5 linked regions of the Cricetulus griseus genome follow. The protein of the gene in region 5 purifies or fractionates together with the protein of the main gene of each other region. This does not show direct contact. Links are inferred from orthologs where the notes say so. Each region holds a gene or a part of one and is shown on either strand. Other genes may lie near its edges.

Region 1 (4,127 bases), on a different chromosome or scaffold from region 5:
ACTTTCTCAAAACAAACAAACAAAAAATCCCCAACAACCCTAAGTAAACAAATCAGGAAATATCTTGGAAAAATCTTTTCTCAGAATAGCGTTTTTTTTTTTGTTGTTGTTGTTTGTTTTGGTTTTTTTTCTGAGAAAGGGTCCCATTCATGTAGCTGAGGCTGGTCTTAAATTCCCTGTTACCAAGGATAAACTTAAATTCATAATCCTCTTTCTGTTTACCTCCCAAGAGCTGGGAATATTACAGACAGGCACTATCAGGCCCAGCCTTCCTACCTTTCTCAAGTTTTGAATTCAGATAAAATAAATCTGAAGGTTAAAAGGAAAAGCAGGCAAAGGTAAGAAGCCCCCAAATCAGGAAGTCTTTCAAAGCCCTTTCTTTTTACTCATAGATTTAGAGAGATATGAATGTGCCTGTGAACTCTGAGGAAAGGAATCTAACAAAACTACAGTAATCTCAAATCTTAAGGGTCTCTCTATGTAGTCCTAGAATTCACATTTAGACGAAGCTGGCCTTGAACTCACAGAGATCCACCACCCTCTGCCTCCTGAGCCTTGAGATTAAAGGTGTGCACCACCATGCCTGGCTCAAATCTCCAACGATTTTTACTGTATCAGTACATTTCGTTATGTACACCAATAAAGACAATGTAGTAAAAAAAAAAAAAAAAAAAAAAAAAGACCCCCAAAATCTCTATTAAACCCAGCATCATGGGGTTTGACTACAATCCCAGCACATAGAAGGCAGAAGCAAGAGACAAATTGGAGCCCAGTCCAGTCTACACAGCAAGTTTCAGACAAGCTAGGGCTACATAGCAAGACTCTGTCCCCAAAACACAAAAAATAAGATCTTTACTAAAACAGGAATAAAATTCATGGTTACTTCTGGGGCAGATTTACTAATTATTGGCTTGTTCTATCATCATTAAAAGTAAGCAACAAATCTAAGTGTGATGGCATATAACAGTAATACTTGAGAGGTTGAGATAAGAGGATTAGGGATGGGGGGGGTCATCCTTGCTATATAGTGAGTTGGAGGCTTACACGAGACACAGTCTCAAGAAACAGAATAAAATTTCACTCTAACGATGTTATGTGAACCAAAAGTACTTGCCTTAGAATAAACATTTTGCTATAGTTTTCTTTCTAATGTTAATTCAGCTGTCTTTTTGTTTCCTAGGTATTTACATTTATGATGCTCAATCTCCACCTAAGAGAAAACAACCCTCATGTGTTATTTGTTGGCTTTTTATTTTGATGCTGATGCTGAAGTTCAAACACAGGACACTGCATGTATAAAGTGCTCTACCAAGAAACTGCCGTCCCAGTACGTGTTAAGTGGTTTGTAAAGGCATTAAGCAAATTTTCAGCATTTAAAAATGGTGGCCCACACATACACAGGTATAAGTTAAGTTATTCTTTATGGAGAAGTGATCAAAAATAGTCTGTTCCTCCCAACAATCTCCAATATTTTCACTACTATAAGAACCTGGGCAGATTTTTATAGAACACTGGAGAGTACACACTTTGTAACAGTCTCTGCAGGAAGCAAAAGACATGTTCTTGTCCCATAAGGAGTTATCTAGTGAGACCATTCTACTTCTACCAACCCTAAAATGCTGTGTTTACTGTAGAGCCAGCCACTTCTTTCTTTTTTGGACAAACTGCTTAGTAAACGTTTGCTGTTTTGAGAAAAAGTCATTCCATTTAATTTATAATGCACCCTTGTATTTAAACCGCCTTTAAAGATCTAACTACACAATGCACACTGTCAAACCCAACTATCAAACACCACAGCAGGTCATCAAAAAGGGCTGGGTGTGTCATTTAAACTAAATGTGTTAATGTGAGGTTTATTTACTACCAAACTTTTCTGGAGTTGAAAAAAAAAAAGTCTACTGGCTACTATTCCTCGCTGAACAGGAAGCCAAAATTACTTTGAAAAAATTATAGTTAAGAAGATTAAGACAGACAGAAGGGATGGAGTCACCTTGGGGCCATACACGGACACAAGACAGCAGCAGCAGGAACAAAAGTCAAACTCTTAAGCAAATGCCCTGAGGTTTACAGATTTATTTTTTATCAAATTAGTTCAATCGTCACTAGCTGAGAAAAGACCAGGGTGTGTAGTTAGGTGGATAGATAATACCAGACAGAGGACCTCTCCCTGTCAAGGAGTCATGACAGCAAAATCACTTCCTGAGGAAGGAGGAGCAAAAGGGAAGTTAAGGAGGCAACTCTGATCAGGAAGTGACTCGTCCCAAACTAACCCCAATCATACCTATAAATGGGGAGGGGGGAGCCCCAACAGCCAAAGGCGGTAAAATAGCTGCTGCCTGACACGTCCCAACATCACCTTCATCCCCTCTCTTATAATTATATAAAAGAAAGTACAGTTAAAAGTCAATCAGGTAAAGTGTCTCCTCTTTTAAAGGAAAGCTGTGCTCGATCAAGAATGGAAAGAGTTGAGGCATGGGGAACTGGGGCCACCGTGAGGCAAAGGAAAGCCCCTTTAAGGAAGGAAGCGTCCCGGGTGCACAGGGAGTATGCCAGCACCGGGAAACGGGCTTTTTTTTTCCCGGGGACACCGCCAGGCTTCCCACTGCTGCCGGCTCGGACCCCTAGGCCCCGTCGGGGGAGGAGGTAAAGGAGAGAGGCGGACCCCTTACCTTCTCCTCATCCGACACCCGATCCTCGAAGTCGGCCATCTTGGCTGCTCTGGCCCAGCCCGGCGACCGGCGCGAGGCAGGCCGGGAAGGAAGCTGAGTGGTGGAATCACCAAGGGGGCCGTCGGAAGGACCCGCCCGGAAGCTCCGGCCAAAAGGGCGCCATGTCAGTTCCGCGCGGGTGTGACAGCCTGGAGTGGCAACGCTCTAGGAAAGTAGGCTTTGCCATCGAGGCCTCGGAGTCTTAACATCTTTCTCACTGAATTTCAGTCACTTTCCCATCCATCCTGGAAGCTCGGTGGCGACTCTCGACTGTCCGTGGCGCCAGGGCTACCTCTGGTCACGCAGCAGTTCCTACACCTATGAGTTTTCCTGGTCCCGCAGGTCTCCGAGGCAGCCGAGTCCAGTGCGCTAAGAGCTGCCCGGCTCTAGGCAACACCAGTACTTTTCCAGTCCCGGAACGGGGCGAAAGATGACCCCCAACCTCATAGGGAACCACAACCACTTCCCTCCAGCGCCACACTGAGTCCGTTTCCTGCAGAATAAGTGCCACCTTCGAATCCTTCCCCGCCCTCCTAGAGGACCAGGTGGCGCCTCGGTCTGAGGTCGCGCTCCGTCGCCTTCCCGATCTCTGTCCAGGTCCCCAGGACTCAGCCTTGACAGAGGCCAGCTTCAAGTCCGCCACTATCCCAGGATTCCCAACTCCGGGTTTCCTGCCCTTCTCCCCTCCCAGGTCCCGGCGCCTGCCGGAGCCGCAAGATGGCGGACGGGGAATACTTCGCGGAAGCCGCGCGGGCTGTGGGGTGTCCCCATGCACCTGTTCCCGGCTTGGGCCTGGGCCCGCCGCTGGGCTGGAAAGAGCGGCTGAAGGCCGGGCTGGCGAACTCTGGGTCCACGCTGTGGTTCCTGGCGGGGCTGGGGCTGCTTTACGCTCTGAGGGTCCCGCTGAGGCTGTGTGACAACGTGACAGCGGGTGAGAGGCCCAAACCTCCTGGACGGTCGGGGACAAGCGCCAAAGTGCAGAGATTCTCGGGGAGTCGTGGAGGGCTTTGGAGAAGGCATTGGTGTTGCATGCTCCAGTGGGTTATTTTTCCCCCCCCTTGGGCCACAACAACCGGGCAGCTGATTGTCAAACCTGTGCTGCAGTTTGCCGGCCCCTCCCTAGAGCTCTGAAGGTTCGCTCTCTCTGTTCTGCCTACATTACCGCAGGAAAAACTATCTGACAAGCTGCAAGCTTCAGGTAGTAAGACAGAAAAGAGCATTTCTGTCTTACAGAAAAGAGCAGTTACCAACACACAATTTATATACATACATTCTTCTTATTTGCAGCCCCCCTTTAAAATAGTGCCTTTGAGTCTCCAGCCGCCTAGCTTAAAGAACCCGCACCCAGAAAATCAGCATTATCTGTAATACTATGATTTCAGAGGACCATGCTTCCTTCTAGTGTAAGATAGTTCTGTT
Region 2 (4,115 bases), on a different chromosome or scaffold from region 5:
AGGAAAAGAGCTGGGCGAGTCAACAGGCTTAGCCAAGGAAGTCTATTTCTAACCCAGGCTGTGTGGGACAGGAAGAGAGAACTCCAGGAGGAGGTCGGGGAGGTCCCCACAGGCGGGGTGGGGAAGGACCCCACAGCCACATCCTTGCTACAACTCTCCAACTCTTGGCTCTGAACCTCAGAGATCTGGAGCATGAGAGCCACCTCACTCACAACATCCCCAAGCACCCTCCTGTGACACCCTACTTACAGTTCCCAAGACACCCTTCTTGGTCAGGCAGCCCCACTAGAGGTATCCACTCCAGGCGGGGTAAGAGGGCCGGAAAGTCTCAAGTCTCGGGAATCACCTCATGGGAGACGGGAAAAACCCGCTCCTCCCCGACCTGGGGCTCCGCCCCACTGCCGCCCCCCCCTTCCCAGTCTCCTCCCTCCCTCTATGGGCTGGGAGTGGCTCCCTACCCCCTTCTCCCCATTCTCCTTTCACATCCCTGCCCCCTCCTCCTTCTCTCAGAGCTGTCTCATCCAAACACGGGGAAATAAGAAATAAAAAGTAAACATCTGGAATACATTTTTTTCCTTTAATTTCTCAATCGTTTTGGCTTCAGCTTGGAATTTGATGAGGTAAAGCCAGGGCCTAGTCCTGTTACCATAGCAATGGCCTCCCACTGGATTTCCAGGGCCTAGCCAAAGGGAAGGAGGAGCCGGCCCAGGATGGGCAGGGAGAGGACAGACTGGACTTGATTGGGGGGCGGGGGGTGGGGGTGGGAGGCTTGACTTGGAGGAAAACTCCTCAGGGTCCAGCCTTCCAGGACAGTCAGGGAGGGACCTGCATAGACTGTGAAATAGGAATATGTGTGGATCACTAGCCTGGAAACGGCCAGAAGGAGTTTTGAGGGACCAGAAGAAATTAAACCAGATGACAGCCACATAGTAGTAGCCTGTCACATGAGCTTCTGAATCTGATATTAACAGATTTAACAGCTAAGTGGGTCTACCATTTTAAAGCTGTGTGACTTTTCCCTATCTGAAAAATGGGGTATTAAGACTTGAGTTTCAAGCCAAATAATGCATGCAAAATACCAAGCATGGAAGTGATAAGTAACAGTTGGCCACTATTAATGTGACTACATTCGGAGTCACTAATGAGCTAACTAACATCCTTGGTAACCACCTATAACTCTCCCCCTACCCTAGGCTGCATTCCTAGACCAGTCCTTCATGACCCCAAGTCATCAGTTCTTCAGGCACTCCACCTCCTCAGTTCCCACCCTGGGTGCTGATGCACCCTCCCACCCACAAGGCCCCCTCAGGCTCTGCTACCTGATGAATAGCAAGCACTGCCCCTGAGGTTCAAAAGCAAGGGAGAAGCTGCCTAACACACGGAATGCACACAACCCTGGAGGGGCAACCCAACCCTCACTGTGTTGCAACCTCAAAGTCCCTTTCCCACTCCAACTGGTCTGAGAAGATAGCTCTCAATGCTAAAAACGACCTGTGGTGCCCAGTCTTTGCAAAAGGCATCCCCATCCCCTTGACCCTGTCCCAGCTTATTTCGAAGAGGGTATGGAGAGAAACTGTGACAATGTCAATCTCTGATCAGCCAATTACCACGGGCTGTGCGTGGGAGAATAACGTGTGTGGGGGGGGAGGGGGTGACAGGAAAAAATAAAATTAAAAATACACAAGATTGCTTCCTTGTCCTTGAACATTATTACAAGGGATATGGTGTGGGTGGTTAGAAATGAAGAAAAACTAGTCTAGAAAAAAAAATCCTCTCACCTGTGGGCTTGATGGACACCTCTGAGGTTATAAGGGGCTGCAGAGATGAAGACAGAGGAGGTGGCTACAGTAGAGAGGCCCCAGCCAGGAGCCCCAGGAAACCAAGGCCATGGCCTCAAGCTGCAGAATCGCAGTGCCTCAAGAACTCCGCACCCTTAATGGTCTAGGGAAACCAGACAGCCTTGGGAGTAAAGGCTGCCCCCAAAGGATGGGAAGGCACTAGGCAGCCTCAGTCCTGGGCAGGCAGGCACCCTAAGGGCCGGCAGGGTCGTCCCTAAAGGTCTCCTGCTGAATGTGCGACTAGTGCGACCAGGAGGGTTAAGTGTTGGAAGAGGGAGGGCCAACAGGAAGGCGGAACAGCCCAGGGCAAGGGGCTGTTTGGAGGGCCTCCGTGGGGAGCTTACGGACATCGAGCGGCCAGGCGAAGAGGAGGAGCAGATGAGGGTGGAGGAGGAGGGGGCGGCAGCAGCGGGGACAGTGAGAGATGCCAAGCAGCCCGCGAAGGAACAGACCGAGGACTGGCGAGGAGGACTGTGAGGGCGGCCTGGGGTGGCTGGGGGCGTGCCATGAGAGTTGAGGAAGAGGGCCGGTGAAGGCAGGAGGGGGGGGTCCCTCGAGTAGCTCCGCCCGCCCCCGGCCCGGCCCCGCCCCACCCTCGCCTCTCCCCGCTTTCTTCTGGCTCCCGGCACGAGTGCTCTCCACCCCCGCACACACGCTCCAGCTCCGCAGCGCCCCCGCGTCCCCAGGCCCTCGCAAACTTTCCTAGTGACCCCCCCACCACCATCGCCGCCGCCCCAATCTGAGGTCGGGACTGCTAGGCGCCCGGTTCTTTCCATGCCCTTCCCCGCCCCCATCCCCGGACCCCGCCCCCTCCGGCCGTCGCCGCACACTCACGCGCTCCCCGGGACGGGCTCCGTTCGGCTAGGCACCCCGACGCCAGTGACCGCTGCTGCCGCTGCCGCCACCGTCACCGCGGGACCGAGCCAGTGCAAGCCCCGGGGCCCCTCCCATAGCCCCGCCCAGGGACACGCCTCCATGCCGTTCATGAATATTCATATAAGAATCCGTGAGAGGGAAGCCGAAGCTGAAACAGAGTCCGGCCCACGAGATGCAAACAAGCACAGCTCGCACATAATTATTCATGACCTTGTAAATGAGGAGCCGGTCCTGATTCAGACTTAGGCGAAACTGACGCAATTTTACCCCAGCGCCACCGAGATGACTGCCTAGAGAGGAAACCGCTCTGGACTGCTTTCCCTAAGCCTACACTGATTACAGCACCATAGAGCGCGGGCAGCACGAAGGGAACCGCTGGCGGACTGAACAGGCTTCCTGTTACACCTGAGTCTTCCTGGGAGCGCAAGCGACGTGGCCACCCGTCGTGTATAAATTCAGATTGAAAGCCACAGTAGAAAGTGGAGTAGCTTTTTCCCTCGTGTTATCTGTTTAAGAGCTCTCTTAGATACACTTCCCAAACATGAAATTTTGTAGCCCTCCCTTCACACACTTAACTTCACTCACACACTACTCATCCTCCTGACTCAGGTTTCCACTCCCTGCACTAGAAAGTCGATCCTCATTCTATTACCTCAAGCCTTATAAGACCCTTGTCTCCTAAAGTGATTAAGGATGGAGCTGAGAACCCCGCCCCCTCCGACTCCCACCCCTGTGCTGGCTAATGGAGTGGAACTCTGAGAGGCTTCCTAATCAGATCAGCACTCATTTCTTGACTCTCAGGTGGCATTGTTCACAGACAAGGGTGAAAACCAATGCTTGTCCAGCCAGGAAGGACAGGATGTGCTTCAAGACTTGCTTCCCAGCTGGGCAGGAGGGCCCTGCAGAGTCCGGATAGAAGGGTAAACACCACATGTAAAGTGGGAAAGGAGACATAAGGACATGGTTTCCAAAGTCAGTTCCATTTATTAAATTGACTTCACAGACCAGAAATACAAAATAAAAGTAGAAATAGGCCCCTATTAGGAGCTACAGGCCTGACTTCACATGACCCCTGATGCAGCCACTTGAATAAGACAGGAAGCAGCTTTATCCCTACAGTCGGGCAAGTGAGCCGAGGACTTAGATCCTTCAACGCACTGTGAGCAGACAGAATGCACTCCTACCCAGTCTTTCCCCAGATTACAAGGAGCCATTCTTGCAAAGCAGCTGAGGTTAGATGTTTCCCTTGATGCCTGCCTCAGAGAAGTGGAAGCCACCAGGAGCAGTTACTCAGATGGCACAGAGTCCAAGAACTATGTAGAAAGCCTGGAGATGTGACAGGGCAAGGACAAGAATTTTCTTCCTCTACTCATCAGATCCTGAGGCAGAGTCCTCTGAGCT
Region 3 (4,299 bases), on a different chromosome or scaffold from region 5:
GTGGAGAGAACCGGATGTTTTCTATTCAGCTCTTTCAGTGCACACCAGGCCTATTGTTGGCAAGAAAAAAACAAAATTCCAAGAATTTCAAAGGCTGCTCCTCACATGTCTAGCACATGATAGAGCCACCCTCTCCTGAATCTAATTACAAGTAGGTGAACAGAGCAAAGACGGAGCACTGAACACGAACTGAAAGAGTGCAGCCTCTAGCTAGCCTAGACAGCCCGACACCTCAAAAGAGTCCCGCTGGGCAGCAAATGCCATCAACATTGTTGCAGAGAGAACCCACAGCAGATACAGTTACTAACTGCTCACACCTCATTGGGGTGTTGCTCTATCTAGGGGTTCAATCTCATCATAACCTTGAGACCCGTGTCTCTATTTTACAGATCTGCAGAGAAGAAGCAAAGCCTGAGGTTCAGAAACTGCCTTTGACATTTCTACCCCAAAGTCTGGCTGTGGGATTTCACTTCCCTGGAGAAAAATTTTAGGCAATCCCGTTTGAAAAGCCAGCAGGTCATATTTTGGAATCTCTTCAGGAACAAAAATTTAAAATGAAAAGGGCAGTGTGACTAGGAGATGGGATGTCAGAAGGTGGACACCTGCTGTATGCTTACCTACAGCCCCCTGAAGAGGAAGCACCAGGCATGGAGGCAGGAGCCGCACTAGGCTCCCCACTTCCTCCCTGGGAAGGGGCAGGGCTCCTGCGAGGCCTTAGTCTTCCTGCCTCTTGGGAGAGAGAGACCACGAGGCGACGGTGCATCCCAGCTTGGCTTCGTTGCCACCAGAGCCCTGTCGCCAGTGGATGGAGGGCTCCGGTCGTCGCATTTTGCGCTAGCCCGCAGCGCTAAGAGCCGACCGTGCAGGTCCAAATGCCGCACTGCGGCCATCCGGTTGCCATGGCAATGCTCTGGACAGGTCCTGGGAGGCCGTGCTCAGCTGACCTCCGTCGTGACTCGGTTTGGTGGTGCTCCCCACCCCCAGCTAATGGTCACCCAGAAGGGGTTCCGCGGGGTGGGGGGGTGTTTTGTGAATGGGAAATCCACGGTGCAGCAATCCAAGGGTCAGGATACCCCACGTGCCCTGTGCCATCACCTCCAACCAGTAGTCGTAATGCGCCCTGACATTAGGAAGGACGTCTTGACTGGAGACTTGGTCAGAGGGGCCACGCCCTCGGGGTCAGCTGTTCCCGCGCAGGACACCCCAGAACTCAGCTGAGGTCGTAAAAGAGGAACGGCCAGGTCTCTACTGTCTGGGCCGTCTGAGAATGCACGTCACACCTCGACCTGAGCACGAGTCCTCCGACACCGCCCAGCCCCCTCATTCTGCGCTTGCGCAGAGAGGCGGGCGTAGTCACCTGAGCGCGCACTTGGGGCGGAGCGGGGGGAAGGGCGGGCACGCGCCCGCCTGTAGTGACGCGAGAGAGTAGGCGAGTCGGGAGGGCTGAAGGGTAGAGCGGCACATCCCGCAGGTTTGGTGCACATCGTCGGCCTCTCTGGGCCCCGGGACTGGAGTCTCACTGGCTCTCTGGGTTCCTGGAGCGGATCCGGGGCAAGAGGGAAGAGAGCTCCGGGTCAAGGGCCACTGCTGCCCGGACTCGGCCGCCAGCCCGCGCTCGGCGGGGCCGCCAGCCAGGGTAAGCGGGCTGGGTTGTTCAGGGTAGGAGCGTGGGGCGGAAGTGCCTCCGTGGCGACCCATCCTACACACGGGAACACTGAGGCGCAGAGTCCACGGCTCTCCGGCTCCCCGGAGTTCGGCTTGGAGGCCTTAAGGAGTGGTAGGGGAGGCTGGAGGCTGCCTTGCTTGGATCTTGGGGGTAATGCAGCTTTGCGTGGTAGGGCCACCCTGGGAGAGCCAGCAAGCTGGTTGGGGCGCCGGCTGAGTTCAGGGTTATGGCCTGGAACGCTCCGGAGGAGACCTGTTGCCATTTCTTCTAACGGGCCGCTGCTTCCTCTTGCGCTGGTCTCGCACGGCAAAGTCTTTGTTTAGTCCTCTGAAACAGGGAAGTGAAGCTTATTGTTTCCCAGCCGCTCTGGCGAAAACAGAGCCAGACGAGCAGGAGACACTCAGCTGAACGATCTGCACTGTTGGCAGGGAGAGCATGTTTCTGGCTTTCGCACTGCTTGCTCGTCATAGCTCACCTGGATGCACAGGGACCTCTGCTTCGAAGTTTGGATAATCAGGAGCAGTCTGAACAGATTGCTCTGCAGCCTGCACAGGGCAGAGGGGTGTCTGATTGATTGTCTGTGAACACCTTTTCCTTTTGCAGTTTCAAATGTAGCTGGTGTGAGGGATCAAGTTTTAGCCAGACAAACATTGTATGGGATAAAAATTTTGCTTTAAGGGGTTGGAGAGATCGCTCAGCTGCTAAAGCGCATTCTGCTCATGCAGAGGACCGGTTCGGTACCCAGTAACCACATCAAGCGGCTCACACCACCTACTCTAGCTTCAGGGTATCCAGCACGCTCTTCTGGGCCCTGCCAGCACTGCACTCACATCCACTTACCCATAAATAAAAGGAATAAAAATAAAAATTTAAAGAATAGTGCAGACTGGGCTGAGAGGTGGCTCAGCGGTTAAGAGCACTGGCTGCTCCTCTAGAGGATCCTGGTTTGATCCGCAGCACCCACATGACAGCTCACAGCTGTCTGTAACTCCAGTTTAGGGAATCCATCGCACCAGGCATGCATATGGTGCACATATATCTATGCACGCAGGCAAAATACACATAAAAATAAAACTTTTAGTTAGATGTGCACTATATGACCCCCCCTTGTATGTCTAGAATCCCTGTGGTTCTGACTGTGAATGACAGGGTCCAAAGCCAAGCAAGGCTGGTCTGGAACTTCGGATGCAAGCCCAGGGTGGCCTCCTGAGGCATGAGCCACCACTCTCCCCCTGGTTCATTTTCAGTTGAAAAGTACTGTCTTTCTGGGCTGGAGTCTGCTATTCATATTCCCACAGATCTGCTAGGGAAAGGTTTGCTATGGGTCTTTGTTAGTGTCTGCTCCCGTGTGGTCCTTCACCAGATAACATAGCAGTGGCTTTGAAAGTGGTTGACATCCTAAAACAAATTCCCTTTTAAACAACTTCAGGCGCTTCTTTCGTTCTCTTTCTTCCCTCCCTCCCTCCCTCCCTCCCTCCCTCCCTCCCTCCCTCCCTCCCTCCCTCTCTGCCTCCCTCCCTCCCTTTGTTTCTGCTTCCCTTTTGCTTTAATGGAAACATCTTTTTAAAAGTTCAGGAGTGACACCACTTACCTTCTGTAGTTTATGGTTGTGCCCAGCCCAGAGAAACAAGGCACCTGTTTCACAGTAACTGGGCATGGAAAGTGACTTCAGGAGCCAGATGAAGGGGCTCATGCCTGTAACTGTAGCACTTGGGAGGGGGAGACAGGATTGATTGTTACAAGTGTAGAGGCCAGCCTGGATAGCTCCTGAGTAAATGTTTTCTCAGTTGTCAGATGTTGAATTTACTGCACATTCATTGTGAATGTGCATCTTTCCTGTCCTCTATTAGCTCACTTGCAAACCTTCATTAATAGAACAAAAACACGAAAGGTGGATTGTGCCTCTAAGAAGTAGCTGCCACGTGTGTGTATATGTTGGGAGCTACCACAGTCACTTAAGTTTTTAGTTTCAAGGAGGCATCTGCGAAGTGACAACCTTGAATGAAAGGTCTAATAGGAAGTAGACAGCATTAAGAAGGATCCTCAGGGGGCTGGAGAGACGGCTCAGAGGTTAAGAGCACTGACTGCTCTTCCAAAGGTCCTGAGTTCAATTCCCAGCAACCACATGGTGGCTCACAACCATCCGTTATGAGATTTGGTGCCCTCTTCTGGTGTACAGATATACATGGAAGCAGAATGTTGTATACTAAATAAATAAAATCTTTAAAAAAAAAAAAAAAAAGGATCCTCAGCTGGGTGGTAGTGGCACATACCTTTAATCCCAGCACTCAGGAGGCAGTCAGGACAGCCAAGGCTACATAGAGAAACCCTGTAAAGATCCTCGATCTCTTCTGGAGTTTCTACTGCACCTGTCAGTTTTGAGATAGAAAACAAGGACTTCTCTTGTTCTGGTCTTTAGAAAACCCTCAAATTCATGTACTGTTACTGAATTTTTTTGCCCATGTGCACTAGAACTCAGCATTACATACTGTGTAGAGGATCCATACAGTGGGTTTACATTAAAAGGAAGCTTTTATGGGTTGAAGAGTTGACTCAGTGGCTAAGGGTACTTGTGAAAGACCCAGGTTCGAGTTCCAGCAACCACAGGTAGGCTTACCACCTCCTCGGACAGC
Region 4 (3,512 bases), on a different chromosome or scaffold from region 5:
GTACTTTCCTGCTATGCATAAAGCTGAGTGTGAGCCAGCATGCGAACATGCGTGCACACCCGACACCATGCAAGGTAAAGCACAAGCGAAGGCACCACCGAGCCACTCAGGAGCGCCATTAGTGTTGTCTTCTCCGCTGCACTAAAGTCATTGACTACCTCAACCCCGAGTGCAAACACTGCCCATCTACATGCCTCCTCAAAGCCCTGGGTTCTTCTGCCTGCTGTTCAGAAAATGCTGCTCAGGGAACAACCTCAGCATCTGATGTAAGCTCTGGCGGGCAGGCATGCCAGGCAAGACCCTCCTGACACACTTGTCCACAATGTCTAAAACTAGGCTGCTCTGCACCGTCACCTCTAGACAGTAGCAGCCTCCGAAGTCTTGGGTTGAGAGAGGTCAGTGAAAAGTGGGGAAACGACCCCCCCTTGCCATGTCCAGGCGTGTGGAGGCTGGAGCAGCTGACAGTGTGTCAGGAGGAACTTGGTTGTCACGCGCTTCACGGCAGGGAATGCTGCTTACTGCACTCCTGTCCATTCCCCATCAGAACAGGCGCCAAAGTCACACACTCACACTTCACACACTCTTAGCGCCAAACACACTCACACTTCACACACACTCTTAGCGCCACATTCACACCTCACACACACACTCTTAGCGCCACACTCACACCTCACACACACACTCTTAGCGCCACATTCACACCTCACACACACACTCTTAGCGCCACACTCACACACTTCACACACACTCTTAGCGCCACATTCACACCTCACACACACACTCTTAGCGCCACATTCACACCTCACACACACACTCTTAGCGCCACACTCACACTTCACACACACACTCTTAGCGCCACATTCACACCTCACACACACACTCTTAGCGCCACATTCACACCTCACACACACACTCTTAGCGCCACACTCACACTTCACACACACACTCTTAGCGCCACATTCACACCTCACACACACACTCTTAGCGCCACACTCACACTTCACACACACACTCTTAGCGCCACATTCACACCTCACACACACACTCTTAGCGCCACATTCACACCTCACACACACACTCTTAGCGCCACATTCACACTTCACACACACACTCTTAGCGCCACATTCACACCTCACACACACACTCTTAGCGCCACACTCACACTTCACACACACACTCTTAGCGCCACATTCACACCTCACACACACACTCTTAGCGCCACATTCACACCTCACACACACACTCTTAGCGCCACACTCACACTTCACACACACACTCTTAGCGCCACACTCACACACTTCACACACACTCTTAGCGCCACATTCACACTTCACACACACACTCTTAGCGCCACATTCACACCTCACACACACACTCTTAGCGCCACATTCACACTTCACACACTCACCCTTAGTGCCACACTCACACGCTTCCTTCATGCTTGCAGATGGCACAGGCCAGGCCCAACAGGAGCTACTGTTCTGACAGACAGTCTTCTCATTGGCACCAACCCTTTGCCAACAATCAGAGCTAAGCAAGTGACAAACAACCCCCAGCTGCTAACAGAAGAGTCTCCTACAGATTCGGTGAGGCTGAAAAGGAAACTGAGGTCTTAGATCCCAAGTATGTTTTGCTTTCTGTGTAACAAGTGTTGGAGAGGAGAAGCAGAGTCCCAAGAGATAGCACTCACCCCTTTATTGGCAGCAATGCAGCATTCAGCCAGCCGCAGCCAAAGCCGGGGATTTGCATGATAAACCTGAACAGCTTCAATCAGACACTCGAAGGCAGCCAGTGGCCTCCCGATGTGCAGCAGCTGGATCCCACAGTTGTACAGCAGTTCATACCTCTTATTGGTTAGCAAAGTACACATGGGTCTTCCAGAAAACTTTTTGCCTAGCAATAAAAATTGCAGACTAGATTATTAAATATATTTTTCTTTCTTTCTTTCTTTTGTTTTTTGTTTTTTCTCTGGGTAGTCCTGGCTGTCCTGGAACTCAACTTGTAGACCAGGCTGACCTTGAATTCAGAGATCCACCTGCCTCTGCCTCCCAAGAGCTGGTATTAAAGGTGTGTGCCACCACCGCCTGGCTAGAATATTTTTTTTAATCAATTAAATAGATGCTTATGATGTAAAAATTAGCAAACTACTTGATTTTAAGCATTTCTGATCAAGGATCCACATAATCTGAATGTTAAATGACAAACTTCAGTCATGCTTTAAGGCTGTCAGATATCACCAATCCATCACTTGGGAAGTTCCACCAACAATTTATAATAACGCTGGCCTAACAGTGGAGAAATCCTAATGACTAATTAGAACTGATCAACACACCATCTAGGGTTACTGATTCAAATCTAAAACAAACTGAGGTAACTGAATTTTCTTCCTTTTCCCCATGTCTGTGAGTTTTCATGTGTGTACGTATGTGAAAGTATAAAAGTCTGAGGTCGAGGTGCTCTCTTAATCACTCGGGCCTTTTTGTTGCTGACAGTTACTGAAGCTCCCTGAGAGGGCTGGTCTCACCAGCCAGCTTGTTCCAGGATCTTGCCTTGGCCATGGGTACACAGCATTTATGCAGATTCTGGGGTCTGCTCCCCTTGTTTAATTGCTGAGCCATTTCCCCAGCCCCCCCCCCTTTTTTTGGTAAGTCAAAGTTTCTCTTAGCTTCCTAACATCAAGGTGCAATAACTACTAAATGTCTCCAGAGCCAAGTCTGTCCACACGGCCTGCACCCTTCGATGGGATGACCGCAACTCCTTTTACTATGGAACCTTCAAACAAAACTTGTCACTTCCCCTGAGCTCTGACTGTATCTCCCACACCCAGCTCTCCTCCCCCATGCTTGCTCTCTCAGTAACGTGTCTCTAAACAGGACACTGCAGTTCCCAGTGCTGCCTACCTGGATCAGTGCCACATGCACTGAGCTGGGCACAGACATTGTCATTTTCTTGCAGAGCCTTCTTAAAGTAGAAAATCCCCAAATTGTGCTTGCCCATGGCAAAATGGATGCAACCAAGATTATTCCAAAACATGCACCTCAAGCATTCACCTGAAAACAACACAAACCACTTTATCCACACAATTTTGTTTTTGCAGTCCCTCATATACAAATCAGATCTACTTGCTGTCAGTTAGTTAATCTATCTGGAATGTCACTTAGTCGCTAAAAGGCAGTTCATTAGGAATGGTGTAAGTGTGAGGACTGGATAGGGTGACACACTCTTTCTGGCAGATAATACTATTTTAAGTCAACCCTGCATACTTTTTTTTCTGACCTTATTTTCAGCAAGTGACAAAAAATAAAAACAATATACATGCCATACATCCACAGTGAAATACCATATAAACTGCAAACAATGAAGCAATCTAAACATGGAGGCTCAATGGTAGAACATATAAGGTCTTGACATGGAAACAGCTAAAATACACTAAGTGAAGAATAAATAACAGGGAGAATGTAGGCAATAGAACAGAGTATACAGCACTCAAGAGGCAGAGGAAGAGGCAGAGG
Region 5 (3,512 bases):
ATACATTCATAATTGCCATTGTCCAGGGGTTTGGTGGTCTAAATACCTAAAGAAAAGTTATGGTATTAAGCTACCTCTAAATCAAAGAATTATTTAGTAAGTATTATTTCAACATTTAAATTTACATGATCATAAAAAAAAACTCCAACACATTACAGAAAAACACTGAGGGTGATATATTCTGTCTTATAATTTCACCTAACTTTAAAACTATCTAAGACCAGGGATGGAGAGATGGCGCAAAGGTTAGGTGCACTGGCTGCTGGCTGCTCTTCCAGAAGTCCTGAGTTCAATTCCCAGCACCTTCATGGTGGCTCACAACCATCTATAATGATATCTGGTGCCCTCTTCTGGTGGGCCGGTACACATGCATTAAGTCTTTAAAAGAAACCAACCCAAAAAATAGCTCCATGTGCATAAGAAGAAAGCTATCTCTTGGGAATTGTGTTAACAATCTCTCACAACTCACCATGAATAACATTTACTCACCAGACTACGGATGCTGGACTCTAGAACTTTGGCAACAAAGGGCACTACATAAAGCAATTCTTGTTGTCCTTTAACATAAGCCTCTAGCAGCAAAGATTTCACATCCAAGTCCTAGAAATTTAAAACAAAATTTTGAGAAGCCAGGAATCTGTTCCAGAAGCCCTTGGGGGAAGGGGGCATAACTTAAAGGTATGTCACTCACTAAGCTTATCTCTCAAAGTACAATCAATACAATCCTTGCCTGAGAAAAAGAAAAAAAAAAAGGGGGGGGGGTACAAGCACACCTCACTGGATTTTCTATATCCTAAAAGAGCCCAAGAGACCATGAACACAAAATTAACAATTCTAACATGGTCCAAGTCTTGTAAAAGCCCAGTGATAATCAAAGCATTCCTTCTAGCCAACTTTTACATATGTATGTCTATCGTAAAACTCACCGTGTGCAAGATGGGTTTATTTTTAGCTAATGTGATCATTCCTAGCCAATGTCCCAAGTTCTTCAGCAAAGAACGATCTGAGAAATTGGCTGCAGCTTTATCAGAGGTCAGCAGCACCTAAAATAGTATAGGATATACAAATATAACAATAAGTTTATGAAAGAAATTCTCAATTTCATATTGAGAATTCCAGTATCCATTTTAAAAGTAAGCTATCAATTCTGAGAATACACCCAAAGTAGATCTATTCCATGTATCATTTAAGGAGCTCAATTGGTGGAATAGTAATCTACCATGTATAAAACCCTGGTTACAACACACAATGACACAGTAAACAAATAAATGGTTATTATTGAAATTTGCTCCAGTACATGAGAATCTCCAAAGATTGAAAAAATCCTTACTATAAGATAATAAAAGTAGAACACAATGTTCCTTAACTCCATAAAGCAACAGCAAAATGGCATAAGTCAGCTGTGCAACCAGGAGCCAGGAATTCTTTTTGCACTACAGCGTAACCTAGAATGGGGAAAATTCCCATCTGTAGGTTTAAATATAGTGCTACTTCCTAAGCCAGACCCAAGTTACTCAATAATGGATGATCTCAGCTTCATCTGGTTTACACTGTTTCTTGAAAAAGTTTCAAATTCAAACATAAATGGTAGTTTAGAAGTGAAACAGTTGAACTTTACGGAACAAGTATAATAAGAGTATATAACCTTGAACTGTAAAGAATTCCAGAACCCAAGCTATTTCACAAATAGATCTGGAATCTAGATAACCAACACTTAGCCAGCAAAAAGGTTTTATTTCTAGTATGTAAAAACCAAGATAGAGAACTGAGAACAATGCTGCAGCTAATTTCCAAAGAGATGAGGGAGAAGTGGTTGGGCGCTACCACGTCAACAAGACTATACACCACAAATATACTGTGTTACATGTTAGCATAAGTGGCCACAAAACCAGATATTCTGGTGTTTGATATTCTGAGTTGGAGCCCCGAGAACCATATTATAGAGAACCACCTCCTGAAAGTTGTCCTCTGAGCACACACATGTGCATATGAGCGCATAAAAACTTGGGCTAAAGTAATTTAAAATTAGGTCTATTGAACCCAGTAGGTTCAACATCTTATACAAAATCCACAACCCTTTCTGTGGGTATCTAACATAAATAACAAAGAGAAAAAGAACAAATCATCCCAAGTTATACCTGTTAAAATCAACTTAAAGTTATTAAAGGATTTATTAAGAACTCTTACTTTAATGTTTCTGTAGGTCTCATTCAGAACCATCTTGTTAAATTCTGGATTCTTCAATGTGTCAAGAAAGTTTGAATACAGGCTATGAAAGTTTGGCTCAATACTGACTCTTTTCATAACTAGATACTGGGAAACCCAAGGCATAAACTCTTCCTTCACGGTTTCTTTAAGCTCTTCCACCTAGCCAGTCAACATGACATAGGCAATAAATAATTAGTACAAATAGAAAAACAGACAGAATGAATCCTGGGTTTTATGAATCACACCACACAGCATCTGGCTCCACATAAACTCCATGATACTGAACTACTAAGATGGGTCTTTCCCCATGATATTTTGACAAGTACTCTTCAGATTTTTTTAAAAAAGATTCCCAAGTGTTGGTATTACAAGCTTACACCCCAAGGCCCAGCATATTAAACTTACATCTTTTGTTTGTTTGTTTTTGAGGCAGGGTCTCTCTATGTAGCTTGGAACTCACAATGTAGACCAAGCTGGCCTCAAAGTCTCAGAAATCCTCCTGCCTCTATTTTACTATGTGTCACCATGCACAACCTAAAACCTACTTATGATAATCTCTTCAAAGACTGTCACTTCAAAAGTACTATCTGAATCTTTACTCTCAAAAGGCAGGCATTGTTCCTTATGCTTCTCATAGGTGTACCTCACAGTTCTTCCTGGGTCTAATAAACACGTAGTTTCTGGAATAAGATAAAATGAAACCTCCCATCAAGGTTGGGCATGGAGGTTAGGACCTTTAATCCCAGCACTTGAGAGGCAGACAGAATTTAGAGGCCATCATGGTTAACATAGTGAGCTCCAAGCTGGCCAAACAAAAAACCCTACCACCAAAAATAAGTAACACTTCCCTTATCAGAAGGGCATGACATTATTTCAAAATCGCTACAACTCAATGCAAAACAATACAACTCAAAGGGATACTGCTTAATTCCTGCAAAAGTGCCTTCTTTTTTCCTTTTTAAAAGACATGTGACACCACAACCAACTAAAAAATCATACCTTTTAAATGGAGTTTGTTTGCTTTTGTTTTCAAGCAGGCTTTCTATCACTAAATGATAGAAAAGGCTAGTCTTTTCCTTGTGCTTAAGCAATTTTCCAACTTTGGCCACCTCAGTAGCTCAGACTACAGACTTATACCATGTACCTGACTGATTTAACTAAAACGGTTTTTAAAAATCCCTCTTCCCATCAAGGAAAAGGAGAGGGCATTTCATAAACTATTATATCATGCTTACCTTCTGGGTCATATTTGACTGTGAGAGATTGTTGAAGATAAAAGCGATTTTCTCTTGGATATTTTCTGG

Evidence for each region.
Region 1: the proteins of Cnot1 (region 5) and Capza1 purify together in Homo sapiens (affinity purification with mass spectrometry; 3 studies listed by BioGRID and IntAct, with this or other methods). This does not show direct contact. The link is inferred for Cricetulus griseus from reciprocal best matches to the Homo sapiens genes CNOT1 and CAPZA1.
Region 2: the proteins of Cnot1 (region 5) and Tnks1bp1 purify together in Homo sapiens (affinity purification with mass spectrometry; 5 studies listed by BioGRID and IntAct, with this or other methods). This does not show direct contact. The link is inferred for Cricetulus griseus from reciprocal best matches to the Homo sapiens genes CNOT1 and TNKS1BP1.
Region 3: the proteins of Cnot1 (region 5) and Cnot8 purify together in Homo sapiens (co-immunoprecipitation; 5 studies listed by BioGRID and IntAct, with this or other methods). This does not show direct contact. The link is inferred for Cricetulus griseus from reciprocal best matches to the Homo sapiens genes CNOT1 and CNOT8.
Region 4: the proteins of Cnot1 (region 5) and Cnot10 purify together in Homo sapiens (affinity purification with mass spectrometry; 4 studies listed by BioGRID and IntAct, with this or other methods). This does not show direct contact. The link is inferred for Cricetulus griseus from reciprocal best matches to the Homo sapiens genes CNOT1 and CNOT10.

Annotation. Positions count from the first base shown.
Region 1 is NW_023276806.1:52,113,490-52,117,616, reverse strand, and holds the start of Capza1 (F-actin-capping protein subunit alpha-1), read right to left. Parts: upstream 2,801-4,127; 5' UTR 2,709-2,800; coding exon 2,670-2,708; intron 1-2,669. Other genes in the region: St7l (suppressor of tumorigenicity 7 protein-like), read left to right, coding at 3,426-3,639. UniProt on the Homo sapiens protein: F-actin-capping proteins bind in a Ca(2+)-independent manner to the fast growing ends of actin filaments (barbed end) thereby blocking the exchange of subunits at these ends.
Region 2 is NC_048599.1:90,486,589-90,490,703, forward strand, and holds the start of Tnks1bp1 (182 kDa tankyrase-1-binding protein), read right to left. Parts: upstream 2,805-4,115; 5' UTR 2,673-2,804; intron 2,163-2,672; exon of another isoform or gene 1,779-2,162; intron 403-1,778; exon of another isoform or gene 250-402; intron 1-249. Other genes in the region: FACT complex subunit SSRP1, read right to left, coding at 4,080-4,115.
Region 3 is NC_048600.1:72,166,471-72,170,769, forward strand, and holds the start of Cnot8 (CCR4-NOT transcription complex subunit 8), read left to right. Parts: upstream 1-1,494; 5' UTR 1,495-1,636; intron 1,637-4,299. UniProt on the Homo sapiens protein: Has 3'-5' poly(A) exoribonuclease activity for synthetic poly(A) RNA substrate. Its function seems to be partially redundant with that of CNOT7.
Region 4 is NC_048597.1:221,673,498-221,677,009, forward strand, and holds part of Cnot10 (CCR4-NOT transcription complex subunit 10), read right to left. Parts: intron 3,051-3,512; coding exon 2,901-3,050; intron 1,894-2,900; coding exon 1,691-1,893; intron 1-1,690. UniProt on the Homo sapiens protein: Component of the CCR4-NOT complex which is one of the major cellular mRNA deadenylases and is linked to various cellular processes including bulk mRNA degradation, miRNA-mediated repression, translational repression during translational initiation and general transcription regulation.
Region 5 is NC_048596.1:171,936,708-171,940,219, forward strand, and holds part of Cnot1 (CCR4-NOT transcription complex subunit 1), read right to left. Parts: coding exon 3,444-3,512; intron 2,368-3,443; coding exon 2,188-2,367; intron 1,490-2,187; exon of another isoform or gene 1,354-1,489; intron 1,044-1,353; coding exon 927-1,043; intron 601-926; coding exon 490-600; intron 47-489; coding exon 1-46.